Struthio camelus: one gene and its partners. The protein of the gene in region 2 purifies or fractionates together with the protein of the main gene of each other region. This does not show direct contact. Links are inferred from orthologs where the notes say so. Each region holds a gene or a part of one and is shown on either strand. Other genes may lie near its edges.

Region 1 (7,941 bases), on a different chromosome or scaffold from region 2:
AAAGACGAGAAAGCTTCATTTTCAGTTTCCCATGCCAGGTGTTTTCTTCACTCTCTCTTCTCACATCAGGTAGTCTCATAATGTTCACGTTATCAATGCTTTTCACAAGTGAAACACTATCTCGTTATTATGCCCAGGTCATTTGCATTTTGATGGTCTGCCCTTACCCGAATATGGGCTATGATACACTGACTACAGGGGAGGGAGCAGCTCGGCCGGATTCCAGCAGGAGCTGCCGCCACACGGGAAGTGGGAACTATGTGGAAGCCGGCAGGACACAGGCCTCATCTCAGATCCATACGGAGAATTCTCTTTACATTGTTTGAGCTCCCTTTTCAAGAGCTGGGGAGAAAAAGATCCACAGCTATTCATTCAAAAAAGAGACAGGACTATCAAGTTAACAACATTTGAAAGTCAATCTCTCAGAAAGCAATTAGAATGAACAAAGCAATGACCAGAAAGGATCCCTTTAGAGAAAGGAAAAAAGAAAAAAGGGCAACCAGGAGGAGTGGAAGGGTTTAATTCCAGATTGGGATGAGAGGAGCAACTCATCCCAAGGAGGAAGGAAGGAGGAAAGCCTAACAGCAAAAACTACACAGGAAAAAGGAAAAGGACAGTAGAGACGTAGGAGCTTAAATTCAGGAAACAAGGTGGAGAAGAGGAAAACATGTCACAGCTTGCTATTTTGATAGTAAGCTTTTTCCTAGCACAATAGAGAACCTTAACAGCAATTACTAACATCTGTGACCCTAAACAATAAGTTACAATAGATTTCTCAAAGATTTGACTACCCTGACTAGGCAAGAACCCACTCCCGCTGAAGCCATTTGTCCAAACAGCATCCCCCCTTATTTATCTTTAAATGATCAATTCCAGCCAATTCATTTATTTGGTAAGTGCATACAAAATAATATGCATTTTGGTAAATATATGTTTGTAAATAGACTTTTTAAAAAGAGCTGGAAAGTCAGAAACATAAGTTACCTAAGACATTGGAATGGTATTTTGCACTCTCCATTTTACTTAAGTAACCACAAGACTTAGCTAAAAAGGGGAAACGTCCATTTTTCAAAATAACTGCATATCTGTTTACTTGCTTATATCTATGTATGTTCTAAAACACAAGGCAATCCAAGCCCTGCGTCCATGAATGAAGCTCGCTCTCATATCAATTGCTTGTTTCCAAGGGGGTGCAGCTGGGCGAATGTGCCCAGCACCAGCCAAGCCAGGCAGCAAAGCTTGCTGGCTCCCCGCTCCTTTGCAGCTGGTGCCTCCTGTTCAACCTCACAAATGACACCCGGGCTGCCACTGTGCCATCCACACACGGAGGAGGCATTAAAGTCACCCAGAACGAGGCAAGTAAGTCATTTCAGAAGTCAGTGAATAGCGTTACCTACATGAGATATTTTAACAATAAGGTAAATCTATCATGAAGTGAATACATAAGTTTAATCATGGAAAGTTACTCATGGAAAACGGGTAATTCACTTCTTGCATACTTCTGCATTTTAGAGGACAAAATGAGGTTTTCCTGAAAACACACCAGAGCAGTAGTTTTGCCAGGAAGATGCTTCATCTGGATAAGTCATAGCTACTTTACAGACAAGACTTTTTAAGTCAGTATGAAATTAGATTAAGAGCTCTAACTAGTCAAACTGAGCAAATAAAACATCCGCAAATATTTCCTGCTCTGTGATACTAGTGGAATCAAACTGTCTAGGGGAGGTTGTAAGTCACCCAAGAGTCACACAGAACTAAATGCATCTGATTTGTAACAAAGGTGGCTGTTGAGCTGGTAATTTTATACAAGTTTGTAACTATAGAACTTAATTACTGGAATTCCATCAAGTCTTGGCTCTTAGAACAGCTGCAAGTCCTTTCCTTCCTGTCCATATATCTTGTGTAATATTTTTTTCCCTGCGTATACAAGAATAAAGTGCTTTAGCAGACATCAGACAGGGTTTAAACCGCCAAGAGTAAGTGGAGAAACTTCAGAGCCCTTTATGAAGTGAAAAAAAGAAGAATGAAAGCCGAGCTCTAGAAAACGAAATGGCACAAACCTGAAGTAGATAGAAACAGTTTTTTCTGGGGAGAGACCCCGTTAAATTCGCCTTCAGAGACCCTCCAGGCAACGCTCTCCCTCACCCGCATCTAAGAGCAGCCTGGCCATGCCGTGCCTGGTATCAGCTGCTGGGCAAATAACTAATCAGTGCCCTGTATTCCCTTCTTCTCACTCACGGTCGCGAGGCAGACCCCGACCCTTCCTGCCTCGTCCCACCCGCACCAGCGATAAAACCAGACAACCGGACTGACCAACCTGCAAGTCCCGCAACAGGAGAGGCGGCACCGCAAAGCCGACAGGAGCCGGGACCGCGGCTACGCCCGCACCTACCGGCCCCGCCAGACGCGCCGGCCGAAGCGGCGCACGGGCCCGCGCCCCGCCGCAGGACCCGGCCGCAAAACTTGAGCCGCGCCGAGGCCGCTGCCAGCCGCCAGCCCGAGCCGCGGCGGGGCGAGGGCGGCGCTCGGGCCCCGCGGGGGCGGCGCGGCCGTCGGCGCCGGCCGGACCCTCCGCCGCAGCAACAAGCGGCCCGGCCCGGGCTCACGGCGCCGCCTGGGGAGAGTGTCGGGCCGCGCGGCCCCTCGGCGGCGCCTCTCCCCGTCCCGTCCCGTCCCGTCCGGTCCGGTCCCGCTCCGCGGAGCCGAGCCGACCCGGGCCGGACCGGGCCGCCGCCGCGCTGAGGGAACCCGAGCCGCCGCCGCCCCTCCCCCCTCTCCTCAGGGACGCGCGGGAGCGGGGCCGCCGCCCCCCACCCCAGGGCCAGGGCCGCGCCCACCCCGTACCTGGCTGGGGCTCCCCGGCCCCACGGCGCCTCCCGCGGCCGGGCTGCGGCGGGGAGGGAGGCGGCGGCGCCGAGGAGGCTCCGTCAGTGCCGGCTCCCGCGGCCGCCGGAGGAACCGACCGGCGGGACGGGGCTGCGCCTGCCTCGCCCGCGCGCAACCACCGACTCCGAGCACCGCCCCCCGCGCGCGCCTAACCCCCCCCTCCCCTCCCCTCCACGCGCTCACCAGAACCCGCCGTGCGGCGATTGGCTGGGAGGGCGGCGAGGGGGCGTGGCACGCCGAGCCCGCCGCCTGCCAGATGCGCCCCGGGGGAAGCCGCGGAGGCCGGCGGCGGGAAAGAAAGACTACAGCTCCCAGCAGGCCCCGCGCCCACGGCCCCACCGCCGGGCCTTTTAAAAAGCGCACAGCAATAGTGCGCTTCCGCCTGCGGGGAGAAAATAGTCCCGGCGCGGGTTGCGGCCGCTTCCCTCCCCTTCCCCCCACCAGCCTGCGGCACCGGTTCGGCCCGCGAGCAGGAGGCCGCGGCTGCCGGCGGCGGCGCCGCCGTAGCGTCCCCTGCGAGGCTTCGCCGGGCGGGGGCGGGCGGCGTGGGCGGAGAGATCCGCGCGGGGTCGGGGAGCGGTGCGGCGGCCGAGCGTGTGTGAGGGAGGCGTGCGGCGGCTGCGCGGGCTGGGGGCAGCGCGCGGCGCCGGGACCCCTCGGCCCTGCGGCAGGTCAGTAGGGAGGGCCGCGGCCCCAGGCCCTTTTCCTCTCCCCGGGCGGGGAAGGGCCCCGCGGGGTGGCTCGGGCTGCGGGCGGCTCCGGGGCCGGTGTACCCCGGCAGCCGGGCCTGGCCCGCTTCGCTACCGCCCCCCTCCCCCCCCCCAGCCCCGCGGCGAGGGGGCTGTGAGGGACCCGCCGGAGGTCGCGCTGGGTGAGGGGAAGAGCTGCGAGGGGCTCTGGGCCCTGGGCCTCCCCCTTCTCCCTGATAGCCCTCCTCCCTGTTTCCCCCGGAGCGACGAGAGGCAAGGATGGTATTTGGTGACCCCTTATGTTTTATGTATTTATTATTTTGCCATATCCGAGTAACGTTCCCTCTCAGGCAGGTGGTTTATTATAGTATGGTTTTCTGACCCTTCTTTGCTAGATTTTCAGCCTGTTTCTGAAGAGCCTAAATATCTTACCGAGGTTGCAAAAAAAAAAAATAAAAAAAGAAAAAAAACCACCTGACCCCGGAATCTGAATGTACTGGAGTGTCTTGCGATGCACCATTCATTCAAATCCTCTGAAAGGCCAGCAGAGAGTGAACCTGGCCTGGTCCCGCTCCCTGGAGCAGGGTGAATGGTGGGAGGTTTCACAGTACTGTGGTGGTGTGCCTTAGGAGAGAGCTAGGAGTGGATGCAGAGCTAGTTATTGGAGATAGTCAAAGGAAAGACCCTCAGAATCAGCTTGTGAATGAGAAAGATTAGTGTGCTTTCGTGTTACTTAATGGCATCCAGGAAAAAGAGGGAAGAAAGGACAAAAAGATTCTCTTATTTCCTCTGTAGGAAAAAAAATCCTGTTGGCAGAGAAAGGGAGCTTTTGCTTTCTAAAGCACTTAAGTTTCAAAACTTGTTAAGACTATTCCCGTCTAACCAAATAGTAGGCAGGTATCATATTAGTGACAGTGCTGCTGGAGAGGAAACTTTTTCGTTGGTTTACAGTTAATACCTCTTTTAGCAGGTGAACTCATGGTAGATCTTTGAAAATCCCTTTCTTTTCTGTGGGAAGTGACTTGTGTAGGTGTACTAAGCTTGGCTAAAGCTATATGAGAAGTCAATGGCAGAACTGGGCATAAGGATTTGGAAGGAACTGTGCACTAGCAAGTTTACCTATGTTATTTTGAAATGTTCTTTCTTAATTTCATAAAAGTAGAAACCTGACCAGCTGTTGAAAACAAATACTTTATTTTCATGATTTTTTAAAATCTAGGCCATGCGCATAGTGCCATACAAATTACCTATTTAAAGATAGTAGCGAAATGCCGTTTTACCTTTTTCTAATACATCTACATTATGCATTTCTTAGAAGGGCCTGGGTTCTTTGCATTTCTAGAATGACAGCAGTGGCTTAGATGCTGGCAAATACTACTTTTTTTTTTTTCCTCAAGGAACTGAGGGAAGGTAATTGTTTTTTTTTTTTTTTTTTTTTTGTCCACAGATGGTCTGTCAGATCTGGAAACAGAACTTGAAATTCCTATTCCTAAGTAGATCTAGGCTTACAAACTGTGACTAAGGTGGAACATTCAGATTAGTCCTAAATTTCTTAAGTTAGGTTTTGTAAAAATACAAACAGTTCTCAAAATAGAAAAACTGAAGAGTAAGTGATCTAACCCCACTGTCCTGGTTGTAAGTTAAATATTTAGTTTCCTTTTGTTGCTCATAATGGGGGCCCCTAGGTAGTAGCTTGACAAGCGCCCCTCTTCCTAATAGCTGAGAAAAGGGAGAGGAGAATGATTATTTCTGCAGGGATGTTTCTTTAGGACCTAAGAACAGAGTTCAATTCTTCTGTATGTATTTGACTGTTAGGTGGTGACTCTATTTTATCACAAATTCTAGTACTTTGCAGGAAAGCAAATGAGAAGGGACAGAGTCTTATTTTCTTCCATCTTCTGTTCTTGCAGGGCATTGTCCCATGGTAAGCCCAGGCTTTCTATGTCAGTTCTCTAAGCAGCCATCAGACAAGACTTACTGATTTCCTTGGTGCTCCTAGACTTCTGAGTGAAAGCAGTGACTGTGAGCTGTAGTTTTCTCTGTACCGACACCATGAAGTTATTCCTGGTATGAGAGGATAGGAGTTAAGACAATTGCATACTAATATGTTCAGCTTAACTTTGGATACTTTCTTTTAAGTGCTTGTGTAAAGAAATGCCTTGAAATAAAGGGTCACTGTAGTATCAAAGCTAGCCTGATAAGCAAGATACACCTTCACGCCTAGGAAAGCAAACTCAAGCTTTCCACAGTATGTGTTTGAGACTTTCTCAGGTTTGCTGCTGACTGGACCAAAGGCTGCAGACGAGTCTGGAGCATGCTTAACTAAAACTTACTTAGGTTTCTGAATTCCTGGTGCACTTCTCTCCCCTGCCCCGGTCCCTCAGGACTACGACTGAAAAGGTGAAGCACTCCCACTTACGTTACAGAAAAGGTCACAGAGCTGTTTGTTGGAGAACCGCATGGTGTGGGATATGCCATGAGAAACTCTGGTACTGCACAAGATACTACAGTGCAGGTGAAGAATCTGGACTTACAGTAATGGGAATAACATAGTTACTCTTCTGATGATCTGCGTGAGAGAGGGATAACTCAAGGGAACCTATATGTCCTTTTCTGTGGAGTGTAGGTGAATGAGGAAAGGGTGTCTTGTGGGTTTTTTCTTTGCCAGTTGTTCATGTACCCTAGTGCAATGTTCTTCCTGCTTCTTGGCTGTAATTTGGTTGGCATTAGGGCTTGCCCAAAACTAGTTGCTTTCAACGTTCCTTTAAGCTTCCTTATTTTACTTTCATAACTTTTGCTAGAAAGAGAGAGGGAATTTCTTGTGTTCCTGGAAACTGTTAAAAGTTCAATTCTTTTTGAGAGATGAAGGGTGGTAGTTAACAATAATTTGCTGCTAAGTGTTCACTGAGTATGAATTTAAGAGCAGATTGTTTTCAGGACATTATTTTTTTTAATCCAGCGGACTTGTTTCTTGAAAGCTGCCAAGTCTAGTTGGTATCCACTATATCCAGTGTAAGCAGTAACTAAAGTTTTTTATTAGCAGTGTAGGTTAGCCTTCATTGGGAAGATCTGCAATGTTGGCCTTGTATCGTTATCTGTCTACAGAACTGGCTTGTGCCATGAACAATGGTGTGGTTGCTCCAGTGAGGTCAGTAGTGCAGCTATGGGTCACGCGGCAGCTATTACTTTTTACTGTGTGTTGTCTGATACTGTTCCTATATAGAATTATGGGTGCAAAACAACTGGAGCTGAGTTTTTATATGCACCTTCAGCGAGATATGTTAAATGGACTGATCTTGTAATACTCTTTTCTGTAGTTGTGGTATTAATACCTGTCTCTTAGGGACAAACCTGGAACTGCCATTCTGTTTCTGAAAGGCTACTAAAGAACAATTTGGTAACTGCAGCTTTTGGTGAATTGCTGGTAGAGCCAGATTTGAATAACTGTTTTTTAGCTGGGAGGAATTTTCATGCTGTGATAGAAGGGAACAAAACCAATTACTGTGGAATGACTGAGTGTTTCTAAGTGTATTAGGAAATCTTCCTTGTTCCTTGACGTTCTCTCAAAAGGCAGACGCAGATCTTTATTAATAGTGAAAATATTAAATGGGAGCTTTACTAGGTTGTCTTCAAAGTGACTTGTTAAAGATGTTGACCCTAGAAACAAACGATTCTGCTTTCCTTCCCAGGAGACTAGGGCATTAGCTGACTTTGGCTAACTGATTTCGTTTTTTTGGGCTGTACATCTTATGTGGCATACGATGAACAGCAAAGCAAATCCTTATACTTACTTCACTATTTCTGGAATTCTTGTGACTCAGATTCCTCTTTACCTGAAGAAACAGTAAGAACAATGTAAGACCTTGGAATATGCCTTTTGGGCATTGTGGTTGGGAGAATAAGAGGGATAGCTGACAGCCTTCGCTTATAGCTCAGAGTTGTTATGGTATGAAAATGAGAAGAATTGCCCTAGCTGAAAGTCTGAGTGACTTAGTTGTTACTGATGACAGCAATACATGTGAAGTATATAGTCAAGAGAATGAGTATGGTGAAAGTGTCAGTTATTAATTGAATTTAGGAGACTTAAGACTGATGGACTTCAATTTCTGAGTACTTTTTCCATACTTTTTTCTTCCTCTAGTGCAGAACACAGAGGATTTCTTGTCAATTTACTGCATTGCTGGACAAAGTCTGCTTTTATTCTGTTGGTGTATTCAAATATGAAAAGATAACTCCATGTCTTTAATTATACTGTGATATCTGAGGGATTGTTTGTGCAGAAATTCTCAATGAAGTTTTCTTTAATTGCCACTTCAAAATATTTGTCACCTCTAGAAATGGTTTGGACCTTAAGTGGCAGTATATC
Region 2 (7,860 bases):
AAATTCTCATTTTCCTCATGCTGAAAAACTGACTGCACAAAGTTAGAAACTGTAGCATATCAGGCAAAAGCTGGATTTAAGAAAATAAGGGTTTTGTTTTTTTTAATACTTCAGAAATGGAAGATATTTCATTTTTGTGAAACTCTAAGGCTTTTTATATTAGGGAAGACAAAGCTCCTCATCTCATTCATTCTGTATTGAAGCTACGTTCCTGGTATAATCTGCACACAGCAAACTTCAAGCACTCATGAATCACACACCTGCTTAACTGAGACTAACAGAAATCATTGTAATAACCTGATCTGGCATATTTAGATTTCTCAGTGAGAGGTGTGCATTTTTCAAATACAATCAGTTGCTAAGAAAGTTATACTATAGAGACAATTATGACAATAATGAAAATAACTTGATCACAATAAATAAATAAATATGACAATTTGCAAACATTTACCTTGTTTTATTGCATTACCTTCCCTATCCAAGTACGAAATCCTCTTGAATCTTCTACCAACGGTTCCATCTCCCTCCCATTCCAGAACATCCCCCCCTCCACCTACGTTTTTCTGAAAGGAAATCTATTTTTTTTAATTCTGCCAGCATTGTTTCTTTGCTTTCAGAGTGAGAAGACAGCAACTTCAGCACAAAGGCACAATTTAAAATCACTAAAACTTCAGCACAGAAATATCTGTAGCGCAGGAGCGGTGCCTCAGCTATACTCATAACATCCAGGAAAAAAATAAAAATACAAGGACAACCAAGATGTACTGATTTTTGCTATAGATTAACCCTACTATGCCAACAGCCTACACAGCTGCAATAGCACCTACCCTTCTAACACAGACAAACACTTAAGACAGAAAATAACTACCTATGGGACATTTAGTGACTAAAAAGAAAACAAAACACCAAAACACAATAAATTTAAAAACACTCATAACATGAACCAGTCCAACGAATACCACAAAACATTACTGAGGTTAAGAACGTAGTGTAAGATAAAAAAGTTGGAACAGCTATTTACTAAAGCAGTATCACAGTAGCTAGAATATGCACTTAACTACATGAAAAATACGGTTTTTCCAGAGAAGAGTTGCTCTGTAAAAGACAGCAGCCCAGCAAAGTGACTGGCACTCATACTCCACAGGGTCCTTCTTCACTACCATCTCCACAATCCTATTAGACTGGATTCCACAGAGGAGTATCCTGGTAACTTCCTGTGTTCTACCTAACACCAATCCTGCATTTTGCACAGTAATTCCTGCATCAAGCCTCCGTAAACCTATGACAACAAAAAATCTCTGTCCTGACCGACATCAAGCAATGAGGAATTCACCATGTATTCTGGCAAAATATTTAACTTCCCACGGAGGTAATGATTTCCACTTTACTTCCAGCTGAATTCAGCCACCTTTAACTTCTACCTTGTGAAGCTTTTCGTGTTTGGGGTGCGCTTGGCAGCAATGACAGGTTCCTAGGATAACGCAATGCCTTCAGGATTTTCCAAATTGGCCAATTTTAAACGTTCCCCTGAGCAGGGGAGATCACTGTATAATGGTGCAAACCTACTGGCAACAGGCTTGCTTCTTCTTAGGTTGACTCCTCCATAGTCAGCTGAAGTCCATGCAAAGACCGAAAAATCCTCCTACAGCAGATATTGCTGCATCTTCCCAATACAGGTCTATTATTCCAGACACAAATACCTACATCAGAAAGTGGTGGGCTCTGTAGCAATCCATATGCTAAGTTTACTTTCCTGCAAATAAGTTAGCCAGATCTCTTATCATGTAGCAGGTCTCCCAGACTTCAAAACTTTATAGTAGCTCCTTCCTGAGATGCTAGATGATATGCCCACATCATCTTGTAAGCATTAAAATCGAAACTTGGGTAGTTTTAGTAACGCATTCAGTAATGCCCCCAGCAGGGACACTGCTACCTTTTAACTCAACATTCTCACTTATACATCTAAGGATCAAGCACCACTGGGGACTCTCATTCATTTAGTTATGTCTATACTTTCAGAATTGCTCTAATGATCCATTTTTCCCTCTGACACAAATAGTATCTTCTGTTCTATAGGTGTTGCATTTAAACACTTTTCTTTCATATTAGATCTTACGGTGATGAGGAACAATATCAACCCTCCTTTTCAAAAGATGTGAAGTTTTTTTTTTCTCTCTTGGCATCTGATTTAAAGGAAAAATTGCCTTTATGTTCCTCAGGATTTCCCACTACTTGAACTACCCAACAAACACTTTGATTTACAACTTGAAAGTAAGCCTCGAAGTCTGTCTTCTAACGCAGAAGCACCTCGCTAGAAATCAGCTCTTTCAGGTGACATATCCACAGAAGGGTCCCCAGGCCCCCAGAGATGGCATGCACCGTCTATCAATTACCGCTAGCAGTTTTATGAAAACAAAAGCACAGGCGAGCACTAAAGCCATCGGATCTTTCAGGAGGGCTGCAAGGAGCGCACAGTCCCCGTGTTAAGCTTAACTACGTTATCAGGTCGTTTAAGGCTGGTGCGGACAAACGCCTCAGCTCGGCCACCAGCCCCAGCGGCAAAACGCGACTTAATTCCTCTACAAAGAGCTTCACGGCTGGAAGCAGCGCTGGGGAGGGACGCGGGGCCCCTAGGGGGAGGCGCAGGCCGGGGGGAGGGAGGCCGCCCTCCCCGGCACGGCAGGGGCTGGGGGGCACTGCCAGCCCTGGGGGTCACTCACCCGGGGCCCCAGGGCCCTCGCCGCCGGCCCGCCGGCCGCCCGCCGGCCCCAGGCTGTTCACGATGTAGTGCGAGACGCGGGAGCTCTCGGACACCGAGAGCACGAAGTCGCCGGGGATGGTGCCCGAGTCGCGCACCAGGAAGGTCCCGTGGCGCTGCCCCTGCAGCAGCGACACCGCCTCGGCCCGGCTCAGCCGCCCCCAGTACCAGCTCGCCCGGTCCTCGGAGTCGAACTGCCCGGCCATGGGGGCCGCCCGCCCGCAGGCCGCGCTCGCTCCCCTCCCCCCCGCGGGCTGCCGCCGCCGCCCGCCGTGCCCCGCTCCGCGCCCAGCCCAGCCCTGCCACCCAAAATGGCGGCCCCTGCCCTGACCTCACCTACCGGATGTGACCGCACGCGGGAGACGCGGGGCAGGCGTGGCGTCATCTTTCCGCGCGGGGACAGGAGCGGGAGGGGGAGGGGGAGGCGCATGCGCCGTAGGGAGGGGGGGTCGGGCTCTGAGGCGAACTGGGGACATGGCGGCGGTCGGGGCGGGCCTGGCGACCCCGGCTCGCCCGCGTCGGTGTACGGACACCGGCGAGGGCTGCTCGCCACCGGGATGACCCCCTCGGGGTACCCGAGCGCAGCAGCGACCCCCGCCAGGGCTCGCCTCTCCTCGCCGCCCGGCCGCCGCTCTCCCAGCCGCTTGGCGCCGACTCCCTCAGGGCCGGCGGGAGCAGGGCCCCGGGGAGGCGGGAGGGCAGCCGGGGCTTGCCTCTGCGGCCGGCTCCTCCCGTTACGAGGCTGCAGGATAGCCCCCTGCCTGTGCAGTTCCCTGATGGCTTCCCAGCTACGGGGGCCCGCAGCTCCCTCTGGTAATTCGTGTGAGGCCAGGCTTGTCTGCGCTCAGGATGGGCCGGCAAAGGGTGCAGCTCCATGTGCCCTTTCTTCCGGGGGTGTACCGGCAGCAGTAGCTCCTGCCCTCAGCTTCCCCCCCAGCCAAGGGTTGTGCCAGCACAAGCTGTTTTCATGAGGCTACGTGCTGAACTGGGCCAGTGAGCTGTTAAAAACAGGCCTGCAAAAGAAAAAGGTTATTTTTACCCAGATCAGTTCACTGACTCTGTTACTGCAGGGGCCTGCCACAGAGAAACGTGTATGTGGGCATGCACAAATTTAGATTTCTAGATTATTCTCCAAGGTCTCTCTTAAGTTCCAGAGGAATGTCTGTAGAGCCTGGATAGATGTCTATTGAATTCTTTTCCAGCTCTGCTCAGTTCTGTGAGCTTTTTCCAGAAAGGAATGTGCTTTTTCAACTGTGTGGCCTCCATGTGGCAGCACTTGCATAAATACCACGTTGGAGTACAGCTGTCCTTAACTGTGATGGTGCTGTCCTCAAGCCTGGCTGACTGAACCTCTTCTTTCTTGTAGGGCACTTTGAAGCCTTGTAACTATCTTACAGATGGGACTTTGGCATAAATCAGGTAACTAGGATCATATTAACCCTCAAAATATCCTAGCGAGAAAATATATCCTGTGTCTTACAGGTGGGAAACTGTTGTTCACCAAATCCATAAGAAGACACGAGGTGCTGGATATCTATCCGCTTTGGCAATAGTTTAACAAAGGAACATCCTTCCCCTGCTGATCCTGTTCTCTCTCCAGATTGACAGTAGGTAGGAGACAGTCACCATCCATGTGGAACCCAGAGCTCAATTCCCCCTACTGACATGTGGAGTTTGCTAGCCAGCTGCAGAATTACCTGTCTTTGGCAGTTCCATGCCCAAGTTAGTCACAAATTTGGAAAGCTGCAGCCGCAGTTTCTTGTTGAGAGCCAAATAATCTAGGAGAGTTAAATCACTGTAGCAAAAAAGTGTCCATTCTGTCCAGTGGTTCACAGTCCAAAAAAAAAAAAACGAAAAACAAAAAACTCTTAAAATGGCAAACTTCTTCATTTTTCTGACTCCTGCCAGACCACTGTAAAAAAGACCGCTTTTGACTGAGGGCCCGCAAACTGCTGCTTTATCTCCCTTCCCGGTCCCCACCCTTGTACCCCATCACCCTCTGTTTTGAGCTGAACCACGAAACTACAGGAGATGGAGGAGGTTTACATGCATGGTTTGGCTTTCCCTACTGCAAGCCGTTGGGAATCTTATTGCAAGAGTTCCCTCTGGTGGTCAGTGATGGGGAAATGAGTGAAACTCCCGATGAAAGCAGCTCCTTTTGCCGTTTTTGTGCCAGGATGATTTCTAACTCTGAGTCACTCTCTGACCCTCATTATTTGTCACGTTTCCTTTGCTTACTCAGGGCTTCTCCAGGTAACCTTTCCCAAATTCCTCTTCCCCTCTTCCCTTCCGTATGTAGCACTTATGTAAGCCCTCCACTCTGCAGTGGTTTACTACCATTGACCCATCCTTTCTGAACAAAAGCTACGATAAAGGCGGAGCCCTTATGCCCAAACCTGCATTCCTGTGCTGGCCTTTCAAAGGCAGAGGATTGCAGCCTGAGATGAATGGGAAGGAACAACAGAGTTCTTGGCCACAGTTTCAGAAGAATAAAACTAGATCAGTTTGTAATTCTGAAGAATTCACTGTTAAAAATTTAAACAAGATTCTGAAAGAAGTTGTAAGATACCAAGAGAAGATTCCATTGACCTACCTGAGAGCAAAAATGCTACCAGTGCGAGCTCTCCTTAACTGCGTGGTTTTCCTCTCTCAGTGCAGCTAAACTTGATTTCACTGTCCCTGCCAGTCCGCCTAGAGATGAATTTTCCTAAGGAGCATTAAAACTTCAGCAACTGATCTAAAACCACAGTTAATCAGTAGAAATGTTCTTGCTTTCAAGGATGTTAAAATAAAATTAAGGAAATACCTGGGCTAACTGAAGGCTTCATCTGCTCTAATAACTGCAATGCTAGAGAACCTGGGGTCACATAACCCCATCCTAACCATAAATCTGCTCTAGATCACAGATGCCAATACTGTTTCTACTTACAGAATGAAAACTAAGAGGAGGAAGAGGTCCACCTTTTGGTGGACCATGTTCTGGAGAAATAGCATTTCTGCCACAGAGATGTGTTTCCTCTTGCACTCATTCCAGAATTTCATCAGCTGTTTATGTCCTATTTACTACTCACATGTCCATGTTACGTATGTGTGTTTGGTCTCTGCCATAACTGTTCACATCTGGTTTGGAAGTATCATGTTTCTGTGGTTCTTGCCAGATACTAGCTACATGATGTCAGCACCAAATATAGCACGCTGAGGAGTGCAGCTGACATTAGCTGTTGTGTAAGGACTTCTACACAGAGACTGTTAAAAATAGTAAGCCTGGAAGGTGTGACTTGTAGTGAGAAAAAATATTGGTCCCACTGGAGTACGTATAAGGGCAGGAGCCTTTACGTTGCCAGCTACAAAATCTCTCCACACCACGCTGGAAAAGTCAAAATTGGCTACTGAAATTTACTGGGAAGTACTATCAAATCAAAGGAAAGGCGACATATCACAGGGGATAATTTTGAGGGTTTTGGTCAGAAATTGTACAAAATTGAGGAATGGAGCAGCCCAAGAAATATGAGGAATTTCTACTGAAATTGGCTGGATGTGACAACCAAGGTGGATGTGTAACCTGAGCAGGTTAGTTTAAAGTGACTGTGAGCTGCAGATGTGATGCAGCTGACAAAACGCAGCTGCCACGGTGGAATATATCAACTGCGGTGTCTCGCCGCGGAGGGGAAGCGCTGATGCCATTGACTAAAGCCCTAGCGAGCCCTCAGCTAAAACACAGTTCTGGTCTGCTGTGTCCAGGGAAGATATAGCTGAACTACAGAGATTAGGATAATTAGAGGAATGAAGAATTTGTTTCATGATAATGGATCCAAACAGTGTGACTTAGCCCAGTGAAAGGAAGGCCAAGAAGAGCTAGGACTTTTCTGTTAAAATAGCCCAAACTCAGCCCAAGAACAATAGGCTAGAGACTTGCCATGAATAACTTTTAAGCTGGAAATTAGATTTCTTTCATCAGATGTGTAGAAATCCAGAAGGACCTTCCTATAGAACAGAGGGGAGCGGAGAAAAAAAAAAAACACACTAACATTTTAAGGAGTCAGATCATTATAAAAGTCATTGTAGAAAGCAGAGCCTGCGCTGACAAGGTCTGGACCTTACAACCCATCCCCTCCATCTCATTCTGTATTTCTCTGTACAGCATGTATTCTTTTCCCTACGACTTTTCTGCTTTGCTCTAATTTTCCAGACATAGGAGAGCACATGGCGGCGCAGCGGCTCATGTGAAAGGATCCCACGGATCCAAGGCCTGCTCCTCACACTCAGACGTTCAGTGCTGCCCAAGGCGGGGCAGGCATTCAAAATCTCAGCAAATTCACAACAGAAAAATCCACTCAGGGGTATCAGCTGCAAGCGACGCCATTGAGGGCTGGAGGAAGGCGGCGCGCCTGCCTCCCTTCGCCCTTCCCTCAGCGCCCCGAGGTCAGGGCCGCGGCGAGCAGCTGTCTGTGGGGAAAATGGCCGCTTTAGCCCTCTGCCGATCCGTAACGCTGGAGGACCCGCGGAGCCGCCCTCTCACCGCGTCTCTATGGCGCTGAGGCGCACCAGAGCGGGCCGTCGGCGCCGCTCCCGCTCGTAGCCTTGGGTGGCGCTCTATCCGCCTTGTGGCTCGGTGGTGGCTGTGGGCGGCGGCGCTCTGCGCCGCGGCGGGACCGCCTCGCTGGCCGGGCCGAGGGCGGGCCTGGCGGAGCCATGGCGGCTGTGCGGGGCCTGCGGATCTCGGTGAAGGCGGAGGCAACGGCGACAACGGCGGAGCCCCGCGGCCCGGAGCCGGAGCCTATGGAGGTGGAAGAGGGCGAACTGGAGACCATCCCCGTGAGGCGCTCGCTGCGGGAGCTCATCCCGGTGAGGGGCGGGAGGTGGGATCGGGGCAGGGGGGCGAAGGAGGGACCAGCCCCGGGGGAGGGAGGAGGAGGGCCGGGGGCCTGTGAGGGGGTTTGGGGGCGCCCGCGGGGGGAAGGGGCGGCGCCCGCGAGGGGGTTGTGAGGGGATTTGAGGGAGGGGGGCCGGGGGCCCCTGAGGGGAGTGTAGGAGGAAGCGGCCGGGACGTACTTGGGGGGCGCAGGGGGTAAGGGAGTCGGTGGGGAAGGGTTTGAGGGGAC
Region 3 (7,653 bases), on a different chromosome or scaffold from region 2:
AATGTTGGCCACCCTAACGTTGGCCATCAAAGGGAAAGAAGAGCCAGTCATAATCATTACCTTTTAGGCAAGATACAGAACGCTTTCTGCTCCCACCATAACTTACACCTGGTAACACTATTTTGTATTAAAAAGAATACTTCCCCAACAAATGTCACGTGAGTTGGGTGAATCCATGTAACACCTAGTATCAATGGAGATTTCAGCATGGATTAAAGGATTCTGCCCAGAACCCCCAGGAGGGACTCTCCTGCACTAGCATCAACACCCTATCTACAGCTCAGAAGAGCAGTCATGCTTCAGCTGGGAGACAAATAGCTTAATCTTGTAGTTTCCCTTCTTGAGGGAATGACACCAAAAAAAGGCAAGAGCTACTGAAGTTCTGAATGATATACACTGAAATCAAGTAAAACCTCTATCAAGAGAGATGGGGTACAGGTGAGGAACTGCATTTTCACAACCACCAAAAACAGCAGAACAAAGAAAGTGTTACAATAGCTGCAAACTCTTTGGAGCAGGGAGCATCTCGTCACGTGCTCGGAGAGCACCTAGAATAACATAATACTGCTCATAACTGCAAGGCAAAACTTTCTTACTGTTCAGAGGCTTGGAAAGCAGCTACACTATTCTTTGTGGGGTATTTTAGTTTGTAAATGCTACGAATAACAGAAACTAGAACTGGAGAGGATCTTGACAGCAGCAGCTGTTATGCCAGACAAGACTAGCCCTTCACATGCAATTCATGGCACTGCTTCTATTCAAAAGCTTTGATGAATCAATCCCTCAATTTCCCTTTCCCTTTGTTGTGTTCATAGGCCTTTCAGAGCCTTTCAGTTAACAAACAAGTACTCTTGCTCTTCATTTTGTCCAGCTCTTTAAAGTCTCTGCTGCTACACAGGCAACACTTCCTGCTGAGCACAAATACAGGCGCGTTACTGCTTGACTCGCAGTCCACTCACTCCTTTTCCTCCTAACTACTTTCTCATGCGCTGGAGTTGACAGAGAAGGTATAAAGAAAATGAGATGCAAAGGACAGGAATCAATTTCAAAGAAGAAAAATGAAAAGATATAAGCCATTCTCAATGACCAATTCCTTTGCTTCTAACAGCAAGAGAAGCTGCTTCAGGGGGAAGTCAAGTCACCTTGAGAGAACAACTTCAACCATTTCCCAGTTACGACACATCCTTCCAGTTCATGAATTGCTCATGAAACAAACACTCCCCATCACAGCATTGAGTTCTCCTTTCAATCTTTCAAGTACAAAGCCTTGCACTATAAAGGAGAAGTGTATTTTTACACTATTAGTATTAAAATCCTGGGGAATCTAAGTGTTCCAAAAATAAGAGAAACTACTTCAACTAATTAGAAGTTTCTCTATGGACACCAAAACTAACAAACCCTGGCTTACGACAGATTTGCATCTGTCACCCCATGTGCCTCCACTTCCCTCACAACAATCCTACATCCAACCTCTCATCGTTTTGACCAAGCAAAAGACAGCACATACAGTAGTTGCCTTGGCATTAGTGTATTTGTACTGACAGACTGGGTGTTGTCTCTCAGGACACTTAAAAAATGAAGCTCTTCTTTATGCTCTCAATGAGGGAAAAGGAAGAGGGCATAATTTCTGTTCTCTATCCATACACTATGCTTCTGCAAAACATCTAGGAACAATCTTCTTCAGCTCACTACCCTACCAGGTTAGACTGAAACAGTCCAGAAGGTCCAAAAGCTATGTTGGGGGGTTGAGAGAGAGATACTATGCTAAAAGGGAGTTGGAACACATTTTATACAGCTGACTGCTAAGACCATTGCCGTCTACTACAGATATTTCTCATGGGTAGAAAGACACTGACTGATCCACTGAACTCAGAGCAGAGAAGTATAATCGCTCAAAGCAAAGGGAGAAGATTCACCACTGCTTTTAGAGAGATGTTTATGACACGAAGCCCATTTTACATTCAAATGAAAAAGGGACTGAAAAGGGTGAGGACAGTGCCAATCTCAGAGAGACCAAATAGCCCCATCCACTCAGTCCAGTAAGAAAACTTCAAAGACCTCAAAACTTTTTTAACAAAGGAGAGAGACTTGAGTGGAGAATTGAACTGTGCTGACCTACTCAGAGACAACGACACCTCTTAGAAAAGAGAATTCAGAAATCACTAGAGCTCACTAGAAAAAGTGAGCTTTGCGTCCACACGGCTTCCAGGCCCTGTTCAGCAACAGATGCTGTCTCTTGTAAGCGAGGGCCTGCTCTGGATTTTATTTGAGCTACCAGTCACTGGGGTCCTCTCCTTACCCAGCTGGTACAAACTTTGCCACTAAAGTCTGTGCTCCTTGGCAAAAGATTCAGGGCAAGTGGGACTCCCTGACCACCCTCGCTCTTACCTCAGAGGGATGGAGCCAGCCACCCCGAGCTACAGAGAATGATGCCACTAGTGCCCCAGCAGTGAGCGCAAGGCGGGCAGGCAGCGGCCACCATACGGCAGTGCTGCTCCGGTCGCGTGGGGCTCGAGGCCCAAATTACGGGTAGGGCCCGGCCTCGAGACGGAGGGCCCTGAGCAACAACGACGGCAAAGCTACAGCGCACTGTGGGCCGCGAACAGGTGCTTCCCTCCCCCCCCCCCCCAACGGGGCCAAGTGGCTGAGCAGAGGTTTGTGGTGCAGGTCTGGGGCAGGATAGCACGGTTCCTGACACCTGCGGCCGGCACCGCCACGGCGGCGACAGCGGCGACCGGGCCCACCGGCAGCGGCCTCCCCGCGCCCCCTCGGGCCCCGGTCCCCTCACCTCCCGGCCGATCCAGCTTGAGGATATCCCGCAAGTGCTGGGTCGCGTCCTCGATGTCGATGCTAGAGGAGGAGGCCATGGGGCCAGCCCGGTTCCTGTCGCCACAGCCCGCGCAACCGCCGCCGCGCTACCCCTACCTACCCCAGCCCGCCGCCCCCACTTCCGCCTCCGGTCCCGCTGCTGAAGCACCGGGCGGAAACCTCCGCCGGGCCGGCGCGTTCCGGGCGCGGCAGGGGCAGAGCAGCCCCGCCCCGGGGCTGCTGCCGCCTGGGGAGACAGCGCGGGCCAGGGCCGCCGGCGGCCCCCAGGCGCTGCTCCAGCGGGCGGGGCTGAAGCGAGTTCCCTTCGTCCCCGCTCTGACAGGTGCCCGACCCGGCCGCGCAGGGGCCGGGGAGCTGCCGCCAGGGGCCCCAGGTACCCCCCCACCCCGACACTCGTGACTCCGGGCCAGGCTTCACCCTTGCTCCTCTCACCTGGAGGAGCTGGAGGAGCAGGGCTGGGCCTCGCTTTCTTCAGGCGATTAAAAGGCAGATATTAAGTAGGAGAGAAGAGAAGCAAGTCATCCCCTTCTTCTGAAGAGGAAAATGTTCCTCCTTTCCCTATCCTCACATAGCTCCCTGCAAAGTAGATTACCTGTTGCCTTCAAGAACCACATTCAGAGTTTTCTTAAGACATATTTTTAATGTGGCTATGAATAGCACTAGTTTCAAAGCCAGTATGAAATTCCAACCAAACTGCATGCAATACCATGATAGGGTTCCAGAAGTTTCGCTCTGAAAGGGGTGAGACAGGTCATTTGGGGGAAAAAAAAACCCATCACATGTAATGCTCCCTTTCTCCAACTACAGGCAGCTATCTCCACCTCTCCAAGAAGCCCCCTAACTTGGAACATGACTGTTCAGGGCTCAGTCTAACACTTGCACCGAGACAAGGGTACAAGAAAGAAGCATTCAGTTAAGAGGCAGCAAACCTGTTCACATATCACAGGCCTCAAAAGTGACCTGCAGATCTGAAAGCATTAAGCAATACTGATTCAGAAACACTGGCATTTGTTTCCTCCAGGTAAGGAACCAGGAATGAATGACTCCGTGGAGAAAGGAGGGGAAAAAAAAAGTACTATTGTGGAAAAGTATTATTATGGCCCACTTCCTCCCCCTATAGCCAGTTACAACTGCATGGGATAACTTCAAAGAAGTTTTAAGGGTTTAAAGAATTTTCATTTTAGATTTGCTGTTAAACTAACACTGGCAACATGTAGCATTCCTGGAAACTAAACCTCTCTCTTAGCTCTTTGAACTCACCAAAGGACTATTTTCACATAGTGGACAAGATCTTCCTGCAAGGCAAGGTTCATAAGCCAGACTTCATTTAGAGCTGTAGTCTACAACAGAAAGATCTTTGCCTAGCACTGACCATGCAAAATGCCTCCTTCTACTAAAATAGTCTCTCCAAGTGATAAATTTTGAATGCTATTTCAATAGCACAGAAACAGCAACAGGGACACAGTACTGCATTTGAAACAAATCAGTCAGCACAAAGGGAACATATGGAAATGTTGTGATACCAAACAGGCAGGCCCTAAGATCAACTTTCAAGAAAGCTCCATTCCTATTTCAACATCAAAGCAACCAGATTTGAGAACTGATCAGCTTGACCACACTGCAGCCCCAGCTTTCTTGTAAAGTCTAAGGGAAATGCCAAGTTCAATATACTTTGAAAGCCTGGCCTCAGCCAGGCATGCTAAGCTCCTAAAAGTCTGGGCCTAATGGCTTAATCAGCTATGAAGGTAAACCAAACATGATTCTGCTCATGTGGTATTTCTTATTCCAGAAAGAGTTAAGTATTTAATAAATCCATTCACTAGTGAAATGCTGCCACCTTCAGGGTGATACAGGACAGTCAATGATGTTGGAGGGGAAAAAAACCCCACATCCACACTGCACAGCAAATGCAGTACTATCAACTAGTTCAAATTATAGTGAAGGAATGCTGAAAGGATAATAGAGCATAAAGCTGCCAAAGGGCATTTGGGCTGGATGCAAATTCAAGGATACTAGATTGTCTAAGTACTTCAGACATCTGGAGGCAAGTATCAGGCTGTGTCTACCTACAAAAAAGATAGAACTGGCTTGTTTAGCTTTGAGGGTTAACATAATAAATGTCATGAAGATAAAACACAGGCTGCCATGACTGTAATCTTTGTGTAGTATCTTGTATTTTGCAAAGGCAAAAGCCTAACAGCAGCCAAGATCTAACAGGTCAAGCAGAATGTTAAAAACTGAGCCAGAAGCCACCATTGCAATAGCTGCTGAGAAGGAGGGAGAAAGCAGTTGTATGGCCAAGGGCGTACCTGAACAGCCTTCCCCAGTGAAAGTCTTAAGTGTTTGTAAACATTTCCCAATGAGGTTGGATACCCTGTGTCCACCTAATTCAAGTAGTACCATATACTCAATATCCAACTGCTAAAAACAATTTAAACTGTTAAGAAAATCTCATGGTTTTATTGTGTAATGTAGCATCAAAACATCCGAACAAATCAACATCTGGGCTGTACAGGCTGCTGTTCTTTCATTTCTTTGGGTTATAAAGCATCTTGTCAGTACATAAACAGCAACCCTTTGCATTATAAATTCTTTCCGAGGCATGCTGGTACAACACAAATTTCTCTTGTCAAATGCAGCTAAGTAACTTCCAAACATCATGCACAAGGAACTCATCTAGTGACAATGTAAACTCGGCAGAAGGGCAGGTCTCAGGTCTTGCTTGCTCACGCTCTGCAGTGCTGCAGGTTTGTGTATGATATTTGGAATGTTCCGTGAGTGTGAATAATATCAGAAAGAAGAGAGAAGAAAAAAGCATGGGTGCCTCGGGGTTTCCAGCTCAGCCAAAGTTGTGCAGTGCTAGCCTGAACATGTCATTGGTGCAAACCCAGGCATCATTGATGTTCTTTAATAGAAATATCTGGTGGAATCCCATGATAGGATCTTCATCAGCCTGTGGAGAAAGAGGGGGAAAAAAAGGTTTGAAAAAAATTTTTTTAAATGAGAAATGCATTCCAACACTCTAAGCAATATTTAAAAAGCTAACACTAACAGTGAAGTCATGTGCATGTCCAGAACCTCAGGAAACAACTAGAACAGAGCCTCTGGTTGTATTGAAGTTGCTTAGCAAACAAACACCTAAGGCCTCACAACACAAATCCTGCAACAGGATTTGAACCTGCTGCAGTTTGTTGGGGTTTTCTGGAAGACTGTTGCAGATGTCTCATTCCAGCAGCTTCACATCATTGATAAGTACATGCCTGCCTCATTGTGCTTAGTCACAAATTTCTGTTGGGCCATAGCCTAGGAACTATTTGTAAAGAAATTATAATTAATGTTTTTAAAAACTAGCTGGTAATTGCTGTAGTATGGATCTGTCATAGAAGGGAGTTTTTGTAGGAGTCAGTATCAATAATATTGCCTGAATGATCTCTGCTATGATCTAGGCTTTTGAAATCTTTCCCAGAGCATGTACAGCTGGCCAGCCATGTAGTACTTCATTTTCTACTGTACATGAACAGCTCAAAATAACTTAAACAATTGCTGTAGCTGTGACAGGATGTCTAGCAGAGTGAATCTCTGTAGTGGTGCCTCGACTTCTGCCTTTGACAATTCAGCTGTGGCGGGGGGGGGGGGGGGTTATAGTGCCTGTGTTACATTTAGAGGTGTTAGGGACTAAAAAAAAGTAGAAAACAGTATGAGAGAGACTAGTCCTCCCATCTAACGTTTACCAGTTTCCTCAGTGACATCATGCACGGGTTAAAGCCATAAAATAACATAAGTGATTGATTCTCACATCAGCATTAAATCTTATTGTGTGATCTCCAGCTGAACAGTACATAGTACCTAGGTACAAAAAAACCCCTTCTGATACTGACCATAACATACTCCATTCAACATTTTCCAGAGTATTCAAGCTTTAATCTTTCAGCATGCAACTATTAAACTCCAGGAAAAGAGTGAAAAAAGCATTAAACCATTAAAAAGCAGCAGCCAGAGGAATGCATGAAACACTCAAAACGCTGAATGAACCTAATTTTGGGTGGATTTGAGTTCTCTGCAGTCCATCAAGAAAAGTGGACGAAAAAGCCAAGAATAAAGAACAGAGTAAAGGAAGCTGCTAGAAGTAAATAAAGCATCCTCTAATTAAAGAGGAACACAAATGATGAATTAACTATGAAACAAACAAAGGAGAAGCAACTTCCTAAGGACATAAGTTACATCAGAACCAGGAAGTCTGCCAGAGTACTGGTAGAGTTAAGTGCATAACTAAAGCATAAGAGGAACATTCAAATCTAAAATCTAGATCTAATATCTAAAAGACCCTAAAATTGACTGCAAGGGTTTCAGTGACAACTGCCTAGGAAATAAAAAGGTAGATGAAATGCAGTATCAGTATGTGTAGACTAATCCATGGAGGAAAACAAAAAAGGGCCCCAAGATTAGCTGCTGTCTCTCAGGAAAGTGATACTGAAATCATTATGGACAATTTTTTTTCGAAATACCACCTCAGACCTCAACAGCTATCAAGGCAAAGTGCTAGCAGCTATTAGGAATGGAACAGAACAGAAATGCATAATTATGCGACCACATAAATGCACAGAGCACCCACATATCAAATCCTGCATGTATTTCTACACAGTAGAATAAGGAATGGCCAGAGAAGGGCAAGACAGATCATCCAGTTTCCTACTGATTACAGCAAATTAAGCACAACGCTAACCTGCAAAAAACATGTCTGGGTGGGGAGAAAGGGTAATATATATTAAACTACTATAAAACGTGAAGGACAAAGCGATAAGGAAAATTCTCGTCTTATTTGGT
Region 4 (7,411 bases), on a different chromosome or scaffold from region 2:
GTACACATCATTTTCTTCCTAATTGAGTGCACTGGAGTCTATCTTGACAGCATCTGAAGGAGAACTGGAGAAAAGGGATTACATTATGATCTGAATGGTACAAGAGCTGCTTTTTGTGAATGCAGCTGTTCCATGCAAACACAGTGCATTACAGAGCCTATTGTTAAGGTCAATATCTAATGAAAGACAAGGCATACTTTCCTAAAATTCACTGATGTAGGAAGGGATTTGTTCTTGCAACATATTCTGTTTTGTGTTGTTTCATAAAAACATGGAATCAGAACAACTCCTTGGGAAAAATACATATTTTCAATGGTTTAACAACACGCGGCTTGTAAGCAATTGATTCTGGGGCTATAATTTAGACTCAACACAACAAGCCTACTCAAAGTTACAAAAGGGTAATGGCAGTTTAACGATTCAGTCCACATGTGGTAGTTCTCCCCAGTGGCTGGGAACACTCCATCCTGGTGTACATACTTTGGCAACATTAAATCAAAATGCTGCTCTCCTAATCAGAGATACCACTTTGATCACAAAGACAGGCCTTTCCAAATTGTCAAGTCTCATTTCCAAATACACAGGAAAGCTTCACAACCCCGTTTGCAGATCTAACTGGCTTTAAGGGAGAGTTCAGAAAGCTACTTGCTGTCACTACCTGAGACCGAGTATCAGGATCTGGCCAGCTAACTGGGAGTCATGAGGAAAAAGCTCTCCACTAGTAACCACGGGATGCTCCTGAGCTTCAGCTAATCTGACTCTGACTGCGACAGCTTACCCTAGCAACTTAGCAGAAAAAGGCACAAGGCACCATGTTTCCCTCCAGGCTAGTTCTGCCCTTTGACCCTGCTGGCATATGCTGCCACGTTCTCTTTTTTACCAGCTGCACACACTGACGTCTAGCTATACGCTCGGCCTATAGCACAGCAAAGGGTCAATGTCTCAAGCCCACTGGTTGCAAAGCTGCAATATCATCTCTGTTTTCTGAGCAATTCAATGATAAAGAAGATAGTCAAAGCAAGCATGTTGTATTTTTGATGGCTTTACCTGCCAATTATGTTCATAACTTTACAGGGCCCGTCAGGATTAAACACTCTAGCTACGACCACGTGTACCCACGCAAGCTCGTAAAATACTCTGTTTGGCTTTTCCATTAGCTTTAATGTTTTCATCTGCCATTTAAGTATCGAGTAACTAGAGTATCCAGCTGTTCAGCAAGGTAGATGGCAATATGGACAGATGCTTCATTTCTACATTTGCAGGGACAGGAACAGTAAGCAAAGAGGACTATGATTCTGGAGCACACTGGACTACAGCCTGGGAGCAGATAAGAAACAGGTGGTGACCTCATGAAGAGCTGAGGTTAGAAGAGTTAACATCTGCCACACAGTTGCAAGTTTGAGTGTAGAAGAGTCTTCAGTAGTAACTCCACATCACTCCTGCCATCCCTCTGCACACAACAAGAAACAGAGCATAACACAGTGAAATCAAGACCACCATACCTTGCTTGGCCGGTTTGTCATCCTTCCTAACTGGTCATCGTTGGCCTTCTCTGATTGTTGACTTCCGACTCCAGAATTCCTTGTCTCCTTTTCCCCAAAGCGTTCATCCAGCTCCTTCGGTGAGGATCTTCAATCCAGGGCGGCTTCACGAATGGTTTGTCCACTGGGATGAAAACTAGTGCTTCACATGTAGCAAGTAATTCCAAAGTCTTAACTCATATTTGCCTTTGGATCCTCGCTCTCTTCCTCCAGCATTTAGCACTGAGCTTCATTCCAAACTTGATGAACCTCTGGGTGGGGGAATAACCCACCCGCCACAAAAGCAAGCTCTCAGGGGTTCAGACCTCGGTAGCTCCAGGTTCCAACCAAGCTTCCGCCGGCTGGCTGCCCAAGCGCTTAAAAGCGCCATAAGAAGCAGGGTTTGCCTGGGTCATACGGTCAGCCCAGAAGTTTAGTTTCAAAAAAGTGACTAATGATCAGGGATAAGACATTTGACAGCTTAGCCTACGGATGAGACAAGTAAGAGGACTTCCAAGAACTGGATGAAACCACACAGTGCAGGAGATCTCAAAGAGCATGCCCAGAAAAACGTGAGGCAACACATCGCAAGAGGAAATTGGGAAGAAATACTGAACGGGTACAACAGCAACACTCGAGACTTCCAGTCCGCGCTGGGGAACCCAACGCTTCAGCTAGCCCTGGGCGCGCAGGAGTCGAAGTTAATCACCATAACCAAACAGACTCGTAAAACGCTGCTGCGTATGACTAAAAAGCGTTGACCGAGTCCAGCGATCTGAGGCCGGTTCGAGCCGGAGCGTCTGAAGCTTAATCTTAAGCCTTCTACTTTCTGAACTCTGGCGGCAGAGGCGGAAAAGGAGCCCCGACGATTTTTTCCTCTCCTCCCGATCAACTCTTTCCACGCCGCAGCCATCACCTTCACCACCCTCCCGAGGGAGCAGGGCTCCCTAGCCCGCTCCCACGACGCCTCCTCAGCGGGAAGCACGTACACCGAGACAGGCTTTAACGAAAAAAAAGCCATTTAACCCGTACACTGATTAAACCAAAAATCCTCTCAGGAGGATTTCCCCTCCCCAACTCGCCGTCTCACCGGTAAACCCGCGCTAGGGGACGAGGCGCCCGGCCCGGCGATGCTCGGCGGGCACCGGCCGGCGCGGCGAGGGAAGGCGCTTCCGGAGCGCGCAGAGCCCTGGCGGCGGCGGCGGCGGCACCAGGCCCCGCCAGGCGGCTCCGCCGGCTCGGCCGCCCAGGCGCCGCGCCCGGGGCGGCCTCGCCTCGCCGCGCCGCTCCCCTCCCAGGCCGCCGCCGGCGCGGCCCGGCGAGCCCCCCCCCGCCGCCCCCGCTCACCTTCTTCAGGGCGGGCACCAGCAGCCCCCGCCACTTGGGCGCGTTCTCCTCGCTGAAGAACTCGTAGGCGAGCGGCTGCGCCTGCATGGCGGCGGCGGCGGCGGCGGCCCCCCCCCGGCGGCGCGGGCTCCTCAGAGCGAGGCGCGGCGGCGGCGCCCCCCCACCACCACCACCACCGCCGCGGCCGCCGCCGCCGCGGCCGCCGCCGGCAGGCCACCAGCGGCGGGGGGGGGAGGCGGCTGCCGCATTCCCCTCCGCCCGGCTCTCGGCGGTCGCCCCCGCGGCGGGGGGGGGGGGGGAAGGGAGAGGGGGGGAGGAGGGCGGCGGGGTCACGCGGCGCGGCCGGCGGGCCGCGAGGGGCGGGGTCGGCCGCGGGGGAGCAGCGCCGCCGCTCTGCGCTCCGCGCGCCCCTTCCTCGCCCGCACGGCTGGCGGCCACGGCGCAGGCGCGGCGGCGGCGGCGGCGGCGGCGTCCCCCCCCCTCCGCCCCGCCCCGCCCCGCGCATGCGCCGCGGCGACGCGTGGTCGCGCTCCGCCGCCCGCCTCCCCCCCCTCCCATCCCCTGCGCGCGCCCCCTGCGGGCGGGCAGCCGTTAACGGCCGCGCGGGCCGGGCCGAGCCGAGCCCCCGCCGCGAGAGGACGGGCTCGGGCGCTGAGGTGAAACCGCTCAAACACCGCTCGCCCGCGCCGGCAGCGCTGCCCGAAGCGGCCGCGGCGCCGGGGAGGAGAGACGGGAAGGGAGCGACGGTGAGGGCCGCGCTCCGCAGCCCTGTGAGGCGCTGAGGGGCGCCTGCCTCCCCTCCGCCCCTCTGCCGGCGAGCGGCAGTTCGCAGGGATCGTTACTAACGTCCCCGAGGCAGCCCATGTCCTCACAAGCCTTCCTTGCCCCGGTGGCTTCGAGCACGCGGAGACGTAGCCGGCGGTGAGGCGGTGCGACGCCTGCCCGGGGACTTCTGTCTCTGACGCGTCCAGTCATCTCGCATGTGGACAGAGATCACAGGTAAATGAACACCCTGTTAAAGCAGCGCAAGAACAGCTGTAAGGGCGAAAAGTGAGCTTGGTTCTTGGCGGAAAGCACCACAAAGTCCACAGTGGTCAGTGGGGTCCGATAGGCAGGATGGAGGGAGGGATGATGCTGGAGAGGAGAAGTTTTTGCTCTGTTTCGCAAGGTGCGGGGGCCCAAGGGCCGGAAGAGGCAATAGTTAGGTGCTGTTAGGGAGCACAGAGAGCAAGAGGGATAGGAAAGATGTATGATCACTGAAAGGAAGGCTTAGGACCAGCTTTCTAGTGGGGAGGAGGGTGAAGTACCCACACAGAGTGCTTCGGAGAGACTGCGGAGTCTTCCTTCGTCTCAAGGACTGGTTAGACAAACATCTATCAGGAATGGCATGCGTGTTGGGAGGCTTGGCTAATTAATGTTTGTGAAGCACTCTGGGGACAGGAGACGTTCTTGAGGAGCTAAGCAGTACTTTGGCAGGTAATGTATTTAGCCTCTCAGAAAGAGCTATCTTTACCCCTCAGCCCTGCCTCGGGCATTTTTCCTCTACACAGGTACTCCTGTCTGAAGGAGTCAGACTTCTGCTTTGAACATGCTGGAAGAGGGATGAAAGGAGGGAAATTTCACATCTCAGAGCTATTATTTTGGCCTGCCAGGCTGCCTGCAGATTCAGGAACACTCAGTCTCAGCATCTGATAGACGGGGAAGATGCTGTACTCATTACCTTATGGTGAAAAATCTGTCTGTCAGAGCTTAAATCCTGAAGCATTATGCTTCAGGAGCTCCTGAATATGCATAACGCTGGGTGTAAAATCGCACCAGCGCTCTGCTTTCCAGCCCCTCTCTTTGGAGGTGATGGTCAGATGGTGTCAGGGCTGTGTTCTGAGACCCCCTGAGTACCAGTGAATGGCCTACAATATCTCTTCCACTCCCACAAAAGAGCATCGGATAACGTAAGATTTCAGGCGCTGTATTCGCAGTTGGTTCAAATGTTCGGTAAGGCCACAGGACACCCTGTGACTCTGAGCTATCAGCACTCAGCCCCCCCCCCCCCCCCCCCCCCGTATTTAGCCTTCTTGCTCCTGCCTTTCAATGCCTTTATGCCCACTTCAAAATCCCTTTTTAAAGACACTGAGGACCTGGACAGGAAGGAAATGCTGTCTTCCATCTGAGGACCGAGTATTGCCTAAGTGGTCATGACTTGGGCTGTTGGTGAAAGCCTAGGGTTGCTTGGTTGGCTTTTTACACAAATTCAAGGCTTCCCTTCTGACACAGCCATTTTCCACAGCGGGGCTAGGACCCTGCCATGCCCAGCCCAGTCCAGCATGGACCATGAGCCCCCCATGCCTGGGGGGGCCCTGGGTTTGTCGATGTGGACAAGGCACTCCAGGTTCCTCACTGGCCACTTGTTCTCTGCCTAACTGCAGACACTCTGTGTGCTGTATGGGAGTGTGCGGTTTCACTTGTGAAGCAACTTAACAAGTTGCAACTATCGCTATGGCTGTCTGGGGAGCTGTTGCTTCACCGAACATGGCAAAATTAAACCAGCATCTAAGGCAGGATGGGAAAAATCCCACCTATCAGTTGAACGTGACTGAGAGCAATAGATGTTGTTCGCTTACCAGTTGCAGTCCCAGACCTCTGGATTCGTGGCCCAGCATCCATGGAGGGCAGCAGAGGCAGCCAAAGTGCAATCAGGTGCAGGTGCTGCTGGTTACTGGATATAAACATGTGCGTTGCTACAGGCAGGGTGCCTAAGGACCTGGAGGGAGGATTGCAGCCTTCCTGGCATTCACTATGGAGCAGGCTATTGCAGGAAAGTGCATGGAGTTAAAAGCTAGGAGCTGCTGAGGGACTTAATAACAGAGGGGTCAAAGCACAAGGGGAAGGAGAAAGCTTGGTGGCAAGGGGAGATGCAGGCAGCCTGGCAGCAGGACGACCTGCCCTTACACCGAGAGAGGCAAAGCTGAGGCTGATCGCTCTTGCTGTCATCACAGCAGAAATGAAAGGCTGCAGCCAGTGTGGTGGTGGCTTGCAGGCTGTCTGTGGTGTATGACGTGCATGGGCAGGATGGGGACATTTGGGATGCCCAGGGCTGCTGCCAGAGGGAGAGGAGGACAAGCTGGAGGGGCACAGCAGCCCTTTGCCATACTCTCCTCTGAGGGCTGGAAGAGCAGCCGGGGCTTACGGTCAGTGACAGCACCCCTCCTGACTGAGCAACTGCCAGTGGGGGATAGGAGGGGATGCCACCAGGAGTGACTGACAGGGGCTGAAGACATACACTTGTGTTTGGACTGCAGGACGCTGCTGGGAGTAGCTGCCGGTCAGATATCAGAACAAAGGAAGGGGGACCTGAATGATGTTGAATTTAAATTAGCTCCAACTAGCTAATTAGGGGGAACGTCTGCACCCAAAGAGGTGTTCCCCAAGGAGGGAAGGAGACAGTGATGCAGCCATATCATAGAGGATGATGCTGGGAAGCAGACAAGCTAACTGCTTTCTCCAGCATCGCTGTCCACAATGGAAGCTTGAGAGCCCACCAGGGCCTGCCTTGGCCTGCCCCTCTCCAGACATGTGTCCCCTCACAGCTCCCTCTGCACCCCTCAATACAGGCCTGGAACATGGCTCCCTATAATCCATGTTTTAGATCAATCTGGACTGTTTCCTCGAAGGGAGGCAAGAGGTTTAGGCACATTCCCTGTTTTTATCAGCTTCTTTTCAGCCCTTTTACATAGAGCCCTTTAAAACCCAGCAGGGCACTGCTAAAGCCAAAGCCTGTGATGAGGCAAGAAAGTCACCCTGCCTGTGCCCAGTGCCTCAGCCTGGTGGTTGCATGCATCCCCACCGCTGCCCAGAGACCTCTTGGTGCCCCCAGCCCAGGGCACATGGAGTCTGATCTCGGGGTCATGATTGCAAAGCTGTAAGGAACAAGTAGGTAGCAACAAGGGTGTCACCTTGCAATGCTCTTGCTTTCAGTTGATGCCGGTGGGGTGCAAAACCCAAATCTGAGCCTCCTCCTTTTTGAGAACGTCCCCGTTTCCCATTTCTGACAGGGGCAGCCAGCACTGCCTGTAGAGATGCGCAAGAACAGGATATTCAGCACTCATTCCCCTGTCCTCCGTGCTTCCAGGAACATCTCTGCAAAGGACTGGAATATCTTTAAGAAAGCTCAGTCTGAACTGACACCAAAGCTCGGCCCCTGCACTGATCAAAACTTTGCTACCAGGTTAGTGAATGCCCTATCGCTTGGCCACACCACACTTCTGCATGCGAGCGGCTAGGAGTGAAAGCAGCCAGACTAGATGGGGCTGGGACGAGGGAGAAAAGCAGAACCCAGGCAGGCTGTTAGAGTAGCTGCTTTAACTAGCTGTAGGCTTGCCTGTAGTTCAGTTCCCTCGCTATGACTCTGCTCCTTTCAGTCAGCCACAGAGTCTTACATCAGGAAGGGTGGTTTTGGAAGCTGCCACTAAGCGTGGCTCTGGGAAACTGTTGCTTCAGGGCAGCTGCAGGCCTAGCAGAGGAGACCTCTTGCTCTACCCGATATCCAG

What was found.
Region 1: the proteins of CRK (region 2) and PEAK1 purify together in Homo sapiens (affinity purification with mass spectrometry; 4 studies listed by BioGRID and IntAct, with this or other methods). This does not show direct contact. The link is inferred for Struthio camelus from reciprocal best matches to the Homo sapiens genes CRK and PEAK1.
Region 3: the proteins of CRK (region 2) and EDC4 purify together in Homo sapiens (affinity purification with mass spectrometry; 3 studies listed by BioGRID and IntAct, with this or other methods). This does not show direct contact. The link is inferred for Struthio camelus from reciprocal best matches to the Homo sapiens genes CRK and EDC4.
Region 4: the proteins of CRK (region 2) and SOS1 purify together in Homo sapiens (affinity purification with mass spectrometry; 6 studies listed by BioGRID and IntAct, with this or other methods). This does not show direct contact. The link is inferred for Struthio camelus from reciprocal best matches to the Homo sapiens genes CRK and SOS1.

Annotation. Positions count from the first base shown.
Region 1 is NC_090953.1:22,562,753-22,570,693, forward strand, and holds the start of PEAK1 (inactive tyrosine-protein kinase PEAK1), read right to left. Parts: upstream 3,013-7,941; 5' UTR 2,845-3,012; intron 2,500-2,844; exon of another isoform or gene 2,318-2,499; intron 2,078-2,317; exon of another isoform or gene 2,061-2,077; intron 1-2,060. UniProt on the Homo sapiens protein: Probable catalytically inactive kinase. Scaffolding protein that regulates the cytoskeleton to control cell spreading and migration by modulating focal adhesion dynamics. Acts as a scaffold for mediating EGFR signaling.
Region 2 is NC_090957.1:15,834,183-15,842,042, reverse strand, and holds the start of CRK (adapter molecule crk), read right to left. Parts: upstream 3,022-7,860; 5' UTR 2,965-3,021; coding exon 2,721-2,964; intron 1-2,720. Other genes in the region: NCBP3 (nuclear cap-binding protein subunit 3), read left to right, coding at 7,451-7,603. UniProt on the Homo sapiens protein: Involved in cell branching and adhesion mediated by BCAR1-CRK-RAPGEF1 signaling and activation of RAP1.
Region 3 is NC_090951.1:24,306,678-24,314,330, reverse strand, and holds the start of EDC4 (enhancer of mRNA-decapping protein 4), read right to left. Parts: upstream 3,008-7,653; 5' UTR 2,868-3,007; coding exon 2,789-2,867; intron 1-2,788. Other genes in the region: NUTF2 (nuclear transport factor 2), read right to left, coding at 5,669-5,782. UniProt on the Homo sapiens protein: In the process of mRNA degradation, seems to play a role in mRNA decapping. Component of a complex containing DCP2 and DCP1A which functions in decapping of ARE-containing mRNAs. Promotes complex formation between DCP1A and DCP2.
Region 4 is NC_090944.1:139,621,260-139,628,670, reverse strand, and holds the start of SOS1 (son of sevenless homolog 1), read right to left. Parts: upstream 3,021-7,411; 5' UTR 2,955-3,020; coding exon 2,868-2,954; intron 2,508-2,867; exon of another isoform or gene 1,524-2,507; coding exon of another isoform or gene 1,503-1,523; intron 65-1,502; exon of another isoform or gene 1-64.